Canis lupus familiaris: one gene and its partners. The protein of the gene in region 3 interacts with the protein of the main gene of each other region in a pairwise test. Links are inferred from orthologs where the notes say so. Each region holds a gene or a part of one and is shown on either strand. Other genes may lie near its edges.

Evidence for each region.
Region 1: the proteins of KLHL2 (region 3) and TXNDC12 interact in binary tests that used the Homo sapiens proteins (3 or more experiments, as listed by UniProt). The two-hybrid records come from large-scale screens. The link is inferred for Canis lupus familiaris from reciprocal best matches to the Homo sapiens genes KLHL2 and TXNDC12.
Region 2: the proteins of KLHL2 (region 3) and BCAM interact in binary tests that used the Homo sapiens proteins (3 or more experiments, as listed by UniProt). The two-hybrid records come from large-scale screens. The link is inferred for Canis lupus familiaris from reciprocal best matches to the Homo sapiens genes KLHL2 and BCAM.

Annotation. Positions count from the first base shown.
Region 1 is NC_049236.1:9,303,111-9,307,125, forward strand, and holds the start of TXNDC12 (thioredoxin domain-containing protein 12), read left to right. Parts: upstream 1-1,205; 5' UTR 1,206-1,322; coding exon 1,323-1,419; intron 1,420-2,756; exon of another isoform or gene 2,757-3,203; intron 3,204-4,015. UniProt on the Homo sapiens protein: Protein-disulfide reductase of the endoplasmic reticulum that promotes disulfide bond formation in client proteins through its thiol-disulfide oxidase activity.
Region 2 is NC_049222.1:111,291,561-111,295,593, reverse strand, and holds the start of BCAM (basal cell adhesion molecule), read left to right. Parts: upstream 1-1,223; 5' UTR 1,224-1,262; coding exon 1,263-1,344; intron 1,345-3,270; coding exon 3,271-3,392; intron 3,393-3,863; coding exon 3,864-4,033. UniProt on the Homo sapiens protein: Transmembrane glycoprotein that functions as both a receptor and an adhesion molecule playing a crucial role in cell adhesion, motility, migration and invasion.
Region 3 is NC_049236.1:61,749,375-61,752,885, reverse strand, and holds part of KLHL2 (kelch-like protein 2), read right to left. Parts: intron 2,356-3,511; exon of another isoform or gene 2,132-2,355; coding exon 2,015-2,131; exon of another isoform or gene 1,689-2,014; intron 1,537-1,688; exon of another isoform or gene 554-1,536; intron 548-553; coding exon 398-547; intron 1-397. UniProt on the Homo sapiens protein: Substrate-specific adapter of a BCR (BTB-CUL3-RBX1) E3 ubiquitin ligase complex that mediates the ubiquitination of target proteins, such as NPTXR, WNK1, WNK3 and WNK4, leading most often to their proteasomal degradation.

The sequences.
Region 1 (4,015 bases), about 52 Mb from region 3:
GCCGGAGTGGTTGGCGGGTGTCGGAAGAAGAGGGCGGGGGGAGACCGTGCGCAGCGGCCTATGGCCGTGGAGTGGCGGGACCGCCGGGGGTCTCACCTGAAGCAGGGAAGGTCCTCCAACAACAGCACGCGGCAAGAGCAAGATGGCTGCCTCAGTCGAGACAGAGAAAGACGACGGCAGGAGCGACGGCGGGAGCGGGGCCCACGTGACACGCCCGGCTCCGCCTCCCTCTCTCACCGGGGCAGCCTATCTCGGGGAGCGCAGACAGGGACTACACAACCCAGGCTGCTCTGCGCCTCCCACTAGAAGCGCGGCAGGCGCAGGTGGCCGCACTGCATTCTGGAGCTTGCAGTCCCCCTTCCATTCCATTGTGTGGGTGCCTACAGATTGGTAGCGAAGTGTGCGTTTTTGTTTGGGTGTGTACTTTATCGCAGGGCTTTCACTGAGCATTAACTCCGCACTGTCGAACTCAACTAGTGCGGACTCACTAGTATGAAGACTCAACCAGTCTCCACTCAGGGAGGAGACGGGAAATTTTGACCTGTTGGTCGTGTAAAAAAAAAACAATTGAGAAGAAATAGTCAACCCACAAAGTTGAAGCACGACAAAACAATTAGGTTTGACTAGATGAAACTTTACGCTCTAAATGCCTGCAGTGACTTTTGTCCTGGTTCCATGAAGAGCTAGGTCGGTTTTGCAATAATCCGAAGTTTGGTTTTCCCGGAGCTTGCACCAGTTCGTTGCATCACCCGTGAGTGATGCGGCCGCGGGGAAAAATAAGGTCCAGCGCTGCTTCTCCAGCAGAAGAGGGCATTCTTGCAAGGCACGAGACCACGCGCTGCAGAACAGGTTTGCCAGGTCTCCTCGTGGCCCGGGCAGGAATTGAAGAATGAAATCCGGTCGTCAACGTTTTTTATTTGCGGAGCAGGAAAGGGGAGGCCAATGGGCAACGCGCCCACTGTTCGGAGCGGCTGACCCCACCGATCAGTGATCTGCGTTATGAGTGTTCAGGGCCGCGGTTCTTGGGGGCGGGGCCGCTCGCAGGCAGCCGCCCCAGCCGCGCTCCCCGCGGACCGTCCCCGCCGCCGCCCCCGCCCTCTCGCCCGGCCGCCGGAAAGCCCCCCCACCCACCCACCGAGCTGCGTGATCTGCACCTTTAAACTTACCCGTGTCACGCGGACCCCGGAGGCCCCACCCACATCCGTCAGACATCACTTCCTCAGGGTCACCGAGCTAGAAACTCTGGGGCGCGAGGGGTGCGGCTGAGCCGCGCTCGGGGAGGCGCGGGCCTTGGCGGGGACGCGCCCCCGCGCACTGTCGCCATGGAGCTGCGGCCTCACCTCGGGGCCACCTGTGCGCTGGGCTTGGGTCTCCTGCTGCTCGTCACCTCTTCTGATGGACACATCGGGCTCGGAAAGGGTCAGACCAACTTCCTGTCTTAACCTTTACTCACCCTGGGCCCGGCCCGCCCAACCCCCGACTTGTGCTCACACGGCCCTGCGCCCCTTCTGTCTCCGAGGCCACGCCGGGTTTCTTTCTTCCTCCTTAACCGCTCCTGGATTTTGAGGATTTCTCGGGGTTAGGAAGTAGCGGGTCCGGGGAAGGTTGAGATGGGGAAGTTGTGCTTGAGGCCTCCCTAAATTCTTGGGTTGGGAGTAAAGAATGGCCCTTAAATCAGGGAAAGCATGTCTAAGAGTCCAGCATCGGTGCTTAGCACTGGGAAGGAAGGTCCTTAGGAACAGTCAGTCCCCTTCCCTGCTGGGCGGCATAGGGCCTCTGGACCTGCATATGCAGAGATCCTCTCCCTGGTCTTACATCACCCTTCTCACCTCTTCTCCGAAGAGCTGGGCATTGCCCCCTCCGTGCCTTGGGGAGAATAGGACCTGCATTCCAGGAAGGCATGACTGGTATATAAAGAAAGGCCAGGAAGGATAGAGGGCCTGATGTTAGAGAGAGGATCACCAGCGAGTTGTCCTTGGTGTGCTTCAGACAATGTGTCTGAAGAAACTGAACTTTTTTGGGGACTGAGGGGACAGTGGTTATGAATGGGGGATAGGAGGTGTGACCCCCTTCTCCATCCCTTTACCTACACCTTCTTTGGAACTTGGGGTTTATGCTTTTCTAAGTGGAAGAGTGGTAGCATGGATTCCCCTTTCCTTCCATTTTTTGTACTGACCTGACTGGATAGAATGATTCTGATACAGTCCTGCTGTTTTAAATTCTGCTTTATCCTCCCTGTTTGCATATGTATTGGTAGGTGATGAGTTGGGAGGACATTCAGTGTGCCTGAATGCAGTCACTCCTTCAGTAAATAATTAATTTTTGGTCCCCTGTCATATTCCAGGCCCTGCCCTAGGCACTAGGGATAAAACAGTGGACAGGACAGATAAGGTTCCTGCTCTCACAGAGTTTGTATTCAAGTCAGAGATACATGGACACATGAACAAGAACAAATTAGGAAGCAAGAAAATTTCAGCTAGAGAAGTGCTATGAAGGAAAGGAAACTGATGGAGTGGAATAGCTAGGGAGAATGAGGGACCTAGCATTACATGAGCCAGGAAGGTCAAAGAAGGTGGTATGTGGGTTTCCATCTCAGTGATGAAACTGCACAGTGGATTCTACTGGGCCAGAATGTTTTCAATACTGACAATCCCAGTTTGAAACAGATTACTGTATACTTAGCACAAAATTGTAAGTACCACGGGAGACAGAATATGGTGTTAGGAGTGTGGGTATAGATCTGAGTTTGACTTTATTCTGCTGTTGACCAGCTGAGAGACTTAGGACAAGTTGCTAAACCTCCCAAAGCTCAGTTCCTCATCTGCAAAATGGGCATAATAATAAGTACCTTGGACACTCAACAAAAAATGTATTGTGTTCCAGTTACTGTTAGGTGTAGGCAGTACCTTGGAGTCACCTATTTAGTATCTTTATTCCTTGTTAGACGTAAACTATGTGTGGTTGTTTCAGTTGCCATTGCTGCATAATAAACCACCCCCCAATTTAGTGATGTAAAGAAGTCATTTTATTATGCTCAGGATTCTGAGGGTCAGGAATTCAAACAAGGCACAGTGGGGAAGGTAGATCCCTTGGTTCCATGTCTGGGGCCTCAGCTGAGCAAGTGGCTTCTCCATGTGGTTTTTTTTTTTTCATGGGCAAGGTGTGGGCTTCCTCACAGCATGACAACTGGATTCTAAGAGTGCCTGCTCCAAGAGAACAAGGTGGAAGTGCATTGCATTTTTATCTAGCCTTACAAACCATAGCATGACTTCCACTGCAAGGACATGTTCAAGGGGAAGGACCCCCATGGAAGCAACGTTGAGGGTCACTTTGTAAGCAAGCCCCAGTACGCCAAGACCATTTCTGTCTCATTTATGCTCAGGAATATTTGTTGGAAGAAGAAATGAATGAGACACCTGATCATTGAGATCCCTGTCTTTTCAGCTTCTAGTCTGAAGACTGTCAAGACAAGTAGGCAAGCAGTTGCAGACACTAGCATCTTTACTGTGGGCAGGAGGTTCTAGGAGAGCCATCCTGAGGAAGGAGGTCTGTGTTGTGAGGATTCAGTGGAAAAATGAAAGGCACTTAATATTGTGTTGGAAACTTAGAAAGCTAAATTTAGTTAATATTTATTATTATGTCCTCCCAAGGAGGAATATTTAATTGTTCCTGAAAGGAATTAATAATGTTTCAAACTTTTGTTTTTTGTGTCTCTTGGGTATGGATTCTTGGGAAATAGAGCCCATGTACCCAAAATGTGCTACCTGAAGCAGTGGTTCCTGAAAATTCTGATGAGTTAAGATTTCTTCCCAGATGTTTCCAGGAGATGGTCTGTTGGTTTATATGGAGGAGAGACCGAATGACCGTACTGTTTTCATTAAGAACAGGAAGTATGGTGGTGTGTTGTGAGCACTGGATGAATCAGGAGGCTGGGATTTAATGCTAGTCAGACCATGTAGCCAGCTCTGGTCTTCCCTGGGGACTCCTTATTGAATGAGAGTGTTGAACTAGAGAT
Region 2 (4,033 bases), on a different chromosome or scaffold from region 3:
GTACAGGACTGGGTGGGGGGAGTTCAGGGGGTTGTGGGACCCTAGAGGGGGCGCTTGACCTAGCGGGGGGAGCAGGGAAGGCATCCTGGAGGAGGTGATGGTGCGGCTAATACTAAAAGGTCTCCTCTCCCAGTAGAACAGTTGCTTTCCTGTATCACTGAGGAATAAAGTAGCCTTGACCGGTCTAACAATAACTCCCAAGCTGACCTGTGATCTAAGCCTTCCTTCTGTGTCTGATGGGCAAAGCCCAACAGTGACCCCTGTTCTGGCCAGTGTCCAGGGCTAGCTACTCCCTATAACCGGTGACATATCCCCCCCTCCCCAGGGGATTTTGTCCTAGTCAGACCTGGCTGGTGAGAAGCCTGAGCCGTCAGATCTGTGAGCCCCCTCCTCATCTGACCTATCTGACCTGTGACCCTTCCTTCTGACCCTTGGCTCTGCTCCTCCCCACGCCCCTCAGGTGCCCTAGCCTGCTCCCCTCCCCCACTCACCTGCTCCCTCCAGCCTGAGTCTCCTCCCCTCCCCCCCAAGGTTGGGAGGGTGTGAAGGGGAGAGGAAGGGAGGAAGGGGGGTGGCATTCCTGGGATTCCCTGGATGAGGGTAAGAGAGGGAGGGCTCTAGGGAGGAGAGTCTAGGAAAGAGCACCCCACCGCGCTCCCCACCCCCCACCCTCATCACAGAGTCCAAGGCTGAACTGAGGTTTGAAGACCATTAAATTTAAGAGATTGGAATGATGGGTTCCAGGCCACTGGGCAGACAGGAAAGCAGTCGAGAGCACTGGCTACAGGGGAGGGCCTCACAAGGCATACTGGGAGAAGCTGTTCCAGGCCACCGATCAAGCTGGCCACCACTGGTTGTACTGGGAGAGGACAGTGCAAGCCACTGGTCATGCCGAGAACCACCGGTTACACTGGGAGAGGCCAGTGCGTGCCCTAAGGGTCCCCGGGCAGAATGAGGGGGAGAGGGTCCAGGGCGGAGTGCTGAGGTCCCAGCTCAGGACACTGGTCAGACTGGTCGGTCAGGCCACCCCCGCGGGCACCGGGCAGCCCGCTCGGGGGCAGAGGGAGCCCCGCTCCGGGCCGTGCGCTGGGAGGTCCACTCCGGGCAGTGGGAGGTCCTGGCGGGGCGCCCGGGTTTGGGGGGAGGCGGGGGGCCGGAGGGCGGGGCGGGGCGGGGCGGGGCTGCCAGGGGCGGGGCCTGGTCGCTCCCAGCCCCGGGGCCGCCGAGCTGCAGCCCGGGCAGTCGCCGCCGCCGCCGCGAACATGGAGCCCCGGGACGGCCGGGCCCGGGCGCGCAGGGCCCCGCGGCTCCTGGTGCTCGCGCTCCTGCTGGGGGCGCACCCAGGTATGGCCCGGGCAGGGGGCAGGGCGCTGGGGGGGGCGCTGGGGACCCCGGGAAAGGAACGGGGAAGGGGCTTCCATGGACCCCAGGAGGCCAAACCCGGGGACCCCGAGGGAGAGGGAGACGGGGGCGTGGGGGACACCCCTCCCGATGCGGGGCCTGGGGACAGCCAGACAAGGGGCTGGGCATCCCACAGCGGTGGATTAGACAGCACCTGGGAATCAGCCCCCTCCGCCCTCGGCCCCCGGAATCTGGGTCCCGGGGCTCCTGCTCCCTCAGACCCGGGGGTCCAGGCCTCCAGTGGCTTCCCCCAAGACACAGGAGACGCAAACCCCCAGGTTTCCCCCCAAAGGTTCCCGAGCTCTGCAAGGGTCAGGGACCCTGTGGCTAGAACCGAGCGAGTCACATGCTTTGGAGGGTTCCCCCAACCTGGTTTCTGAGCCCAGGCTCTAAAGAACCCAGCTCCCTAGGCAGCGGCCGTGGGGAAAGTGTTTCCGAGGGCCAGTGCCAGGGCCGCCTGCCTGGGGCCCCAGACAAATCCACACACCTGTGTGGCGGCGGAGGGGAGGAGGCCCAGGGGCTGGCAACGGAGGGCAGAGATCTCTCCATCTGTCCTCCTGTCGTTGCTCAGACGAACCCCAGGCACCAGTCTGGCCCCACACCCCCTCTCCTGGGACCCGCCTGGGCCAGAGGTGGGTGCCTGGGAATCCAGGCCCCCGGCACAAGCATGGCAAATAGTGGGTCCCCAGGGGCAGGGCTGGGTCAAGCTGGGCGGGGAAGGGAAGGGAAGGGAGGTTCTAAGAAGTGAGCGCTGATGCCAGGATGCCAGCCCAGAGGGTGAGAGAGCATGGTTTCCCCTATTGGAACAGCTGTATCTGCCAGGATCCTAGGATGGGAGTCCAGGCCCCCTCAGCTCTCTTATGCCTCCGGACCCAGAATCCTGGGCCTCGCCCCTCTTCTACTCCGAGGGAATGCACCTCACCCGCTTCCTTGCTCCATCAAAGAGGCTGAGGGGCCAGGGGGCGGGTAGGGGGCTCTGGCGCCAGGCCGGGCAGGTCTGGGCCAGCCTGTCCCTCCCACATTCCTGAAACCTGCCCAGCCCTGTCCCCCCTGACCGCCCCCACACACCCATCCTACCTCAGCTGCAGGCCCAGCCCCAGCCCCCTGACTCGTGACGAGGGACCCAGGGGCTGAGAGAGATGGAGGCAGTGCCAGGCTGCTGGAGAGGCAGGGACTGTGGACCAGAGATGGAAACCCAGAGTGAGAGACACACAGGCAGAGATGGAGAGACAGCTGTCTCTGGCCCTGTGCCAGGCCCTGCGCAGGGTGCTGGAGGCCAAGGGATGAGCCAGTACTGGCACTGCCCTGGAGGGGCGGCTGGCCTGGTGGGAAGAACAAGGACAGGTGCAGTTTTACCCCCCAGGAGGATTGGACAGAGGGCCCTGTGTGGCCCAGGGGGGGGGAGGAGCCCTTAGTTCTGTGAAGAGAGAGATGGAGAGAAATGCTGATGGGTTTGTAAGCTCAGAGATGCAGACAGGAGAAATGGAGGGAGGAGGTGCTGGGGGTCTGGACCCCTGGGTCTGAGGGAGGAGGGGCTGGGGGCCCGGACTCCTGGGTCTGAGGGAGGAGGGGCTGGGGGTCTGGACCCCTGGGTCTGAGAGAGGATGGGGCTGGGGGTCTGGACCCCTGGGTCTGAGGGAGGAGGGGCTGGGGGTCTGGACCCCTGGGTCTGAGGGAGGAGGGGCTGGGGGCCCGGACTCCTGGGTCTGAGGGAGGAGGGGCTGGGGGTCTGGACCCCTGGGTCTGAGAGAGGATGGGGCTGGGGGTCTGGACCCCTGGGTCTGAGGGAGGAGGGGCTGGGGGTCTGGACCCCTGGGTGTGGGGGAGGAGGGGCTCAGAGGCAGAGAGAGCTCAATGGCTCTCCTGCAGGTGCCCAAGCTGAGGTGCGCTTGTCTGTGCCCTCCCTGGTGGAGGTGATGAAGGGGGAGCCCGTCGCCCTGAACTGCACCCCCTTGGGGACCCACGACCATTTTGTGCTGGAATGGTTCCTGGTGAGTGCCTCAGGCTGGGGGCCAGAGGATGGCCAGGGAGCTGGGAGTCAGGGTGCCGCAGGGGCTGCAAATATTCATTCCCTCATCAGCGCCCCAAAGGACCAAAGAGCTGCATCCCACTGCCTTTCCCTTGTACAGGTGGGGGAGTTGAGGCCCAGCCAGAGGGAAGGACTCTCCAAGGTCCCCGGGTATCTGAGCACAGCTGAGACTGGAAGGAGGAGGCCCCCTTCGGAGAGAGAACGTTCAGAGATAGACATAGCCAGGAGATAAGAGACCAAGGGACAGGGTGCATGAGGAGGAGAGACGGGAGCAGAGCAGGGTGGAGAATGAGGGACCCTTAGGGAGAGGAAACCCCTGCCACACAGACCAGAGGGAGGTGACAATCAGAGAGGTGGTGGTCAGGGGAGGGGCACAAAGGGACAGCGGTGGGCAGGCCAGGCAGCCCGGAGCTGAGGCCCTCCCCGCCCACAGGCAGACCGCTCTGGGGTCCGCCACCGCCTGGCCTCGGCCGAGCTGCAGGGCTCCGAGCTGCAGGGTCGGGTGCTCGACTCCCGGGGCCGCAGCCCCCCGTACCAGCTGGACTCGCGCGGCCGCCTGGTGCTGACGGAGGCGCAGGTGGGTGATGAGCAGAACTACGTGTG
Region 3 (3,511 bases):
TGAGCCAAATGAGCTGTTGGCCAACCTTAGCCCAACAGGTAATTCTGTGAAAACACTCGGTTTTCAATTATTGTCTAAACACACAGCTTACAGAGAAATCTTTCTCTGTAACCTACTCAGATTTTCCTTTCTACTAGAACTAAAGCTAATAGGACCCAGAAAGGACAAAAATCAGTTGCTTTCTGTTCCAGAACAGTGACAACATGCAGTTTATAAAGGTTAAATGAACCGAGCAACCCCCCCGCCCCTTGCCACACACAGGCCCAATAGAGAAGTTGAATTATATACACTACAATGAATTCTCAGGCACATGGAAATTCAGATGAGTAAATATATCAACAGCCTCTCTATGGGCCTTTCAGATGAAGTAATAATAAGTGTGAACAATAGATCCTACTTTGGGAAGGTTCATGGGTGTCCTCAGTCGGGTCCGGACACTCTTCATTAATATACGCTGCTCCGTTGGCAGCAAATGATACTTCATAGCTTCAATGAGGTAATCTTTGCAAGCACTGCTGTTCTTGACCAATGCTTCCTCTTCAACCCTCTGCAGGGAGAAATAAGACATACCCCATGACAGGGACAACTATTTCATGATAAAACTGGCAAAGAAACAGAAGTAAAGAAGAGGGGAAAAACAAAACAAAAATCATCCGGTCTGGCTCAGTCGTTTTCCTTACAAAGGAAAGCTTATAAATATCACTAAAAGAAAAATAAATGAAGCCAAAAAAAAAAAAAAAGCTCAAATATCTGGTCTGCAAAGAAAAATATATGTAAGTAATCAAGAGAAGAGCTGCAATCAAAATTATATACCTTAACATCAGCAATAGAATAATCTTTAGATAATACTATATTCACCTATTTCTCTCTCTCTCTCTCTCTCTCTCTCTCTCTCTTTCTGGTATATTCACCTATTTCTTATCTTAAAATATCAAGCCAAAGAGTAAGAAAAAAAATTTAGATAATGAGTCCTTCAGGTGGAATAGGCAATACTAATAAATTAAAGTCACTTTTCAAACGCAAAAAGGCAAATAAAATATCCAGGAGAGGGATTCAAAGTACTTTATAACATGCCTACACCACAAATAAATCTTGTCCCTGCTATTCCCGACCTCAAATGCAGGACAGGTTTTTTTGTTCATTTTCTTAACAGCGGAGTGCCAATGATTATGCAGATCACAACAAATAATGAGGCTTCAAGAAATCCTAAAATGCTCAGATTGAATCTCTTAATAAAGAACGTTTCCTTGGGATGCCTGGGTGGCTCAGTGGTTGAGCATCTGCCTTCGGCTCAGGTCATGGTGCTGGGGTCCCGGGATCGAGTCCTGCGTTGAGCTCCCCGCAGGGAGCCTACTTCTCCCTCTGCCTGTGTCTCTGCCTCTCTCAATAGATAAAATCTTTATTTTTTTTATTTTTTTTCTTTTAGATAAAATCTTTAAAAATAAAATGTTTCCTTAAATAGTTTCAATTATAAGAATGTTGAAATGTTCCTGGCAGGATGCTAATAATAAAAAAATAAATTCAAAATTGTTCACAGACTGCTAAAATCCATTTATTTCTACTTACTTCAAATAACCTGGTTTCCCTCAGATTAGAAATAAAGACAGAAACCAAATGCATGTAACAGTAAAACTATGAAGTAGAATTAAATAGTATTTGGGTCAAATGTCAAAATTCCATTTCTGCAGGGCAATCAGAAGACGCTATCAACAGGAAAGCAAAGATGATGCAGAGCAGGGACACAGAGTCACAGGTGCATTTATTTATGTGTAAGTGACCATAAGTACTGCCTACAGAAGCTCTAGAATTTGCTTGCCCACATCAAACATAGGGGGAAGCAAATTTCTAAGAAAGAGGAGTGGCCAAAGAAGGAGCAGCTGCCAAGGACCACAGGTGCCTCTAAGGTCCTCCGTCCCGTGCCCTGGGCATCTCATTCCGTAGGTCTCACCACTGTCATGCTGTCAGCCCAGTGACAAAGTGCTACGGGATTCACAGGTTTTGCATATGCTTTTACCTGAACTAAATATTCCCGAGGAAGCAAAGGTAACCGCACGTGTTCCATCAGCCGAGCCATAAATTCTTGCCTTACATCCTTGTCATGGTTTACCCAAGCTATTACTGCTTCAAATACCTTGCAGAAAATATGGGGAAAAGAAAAATAAGTAATGAGTTATGTACCAAGGCATCTGAATGAAGGATGATGAGATTACATTTTCTACACAATTCTTGCTAAGACATCCAAGTTTAATACACGGCTCAAGTTTTCCAAAATCCTGACCCATGCTGTACTTAAAAAGCTATTCAGTCCATTTCTTTCTTTTAATTTGGTATTTAGTAAAGTATTTTTTTTCCCAGCTTGGCTGAAATATAATTGACAGATAACACTGTGTAAGTTTAAGGTGCTCATTTGATATATTTATATATTGCAAAATGATGACCATCATAGCTTTAGCTAATACCTTCGTCACGTCACATAATTACCGCTTCTTTTCCGTGGTAAGAATATTTAAGATCTACTCTCTTAGCCACTTTCACGTATATAATACAGTTTTGTTAAATATAATCACCGTACTGTACATTCCCCAGAACTTACTCTTTAGAAGTCTGTAGCCTTTCACCAACATCTCCCCTCTTCTTCCATCCTGAACCCCATGTAACCACCACTGTACTCTGTTTCTAGGAGTTCAGTTTAGATTCCACATATAAGTGATCTCATACAGCCCTGGTCTTTCCCGGACTTATTTCACTTAGCATAATGCCTTCAAGGCACACCTATGTTGTCACAAATGGCAGTTATTTTCTCTTTTTTCATGGTTGAATAATATTCCTGTGTATATATGTGTGTGTATCGTATTTCTGTTATCCATTCATCCACTGATGGGACACTAGGTTGCTTCTAAATCGTGGCTATTCACAATAGCCACGATTTAGAAATCTTGATTTAGAAATCAAAGATTTAGAAATCTTTGAATTGGTTTATTGTGAATGCTGCAGTAAACCAATGCACATGGGAGCGCAGACGTCTCTTCAAGAATATATCCAGAAGTGGAACTGCTGGATCATATGGTAGTTCTATTTTTAATTTAGCAAGTACCTTCAGCACTTTTATGTATTAAGTATTCTTCATTTGGTATTTTACTAAGCATTTCACCAAATATATTATCTAATCTCCTTGAATTTAAGTGGTAGCTGTGATAATCTGACAATACATGATCTAATTCACTGTTGATAACCTTCCTAAGGTGGTTCTGCTTACCAAGATTTAAATCTCAAGTCTCTTTGGAATAAAGGGCCCAAAATAATAAAGCAAAGTGATACTGTTGAATGAATATCACATACCCTCATAAACAACTATTTTAGGCTTTTTCTTTAGGTTTAAAAAGAAATGTTAGCCATACACTTCTAAGTTAAGTGTCTGCAGAAAAAATTAGTTAATTACTTAATTGTCTGCAGAATAGATGAACTCTCTTTTCTCACAATGAAATATATTAAATCTACTATTTTTGAATAG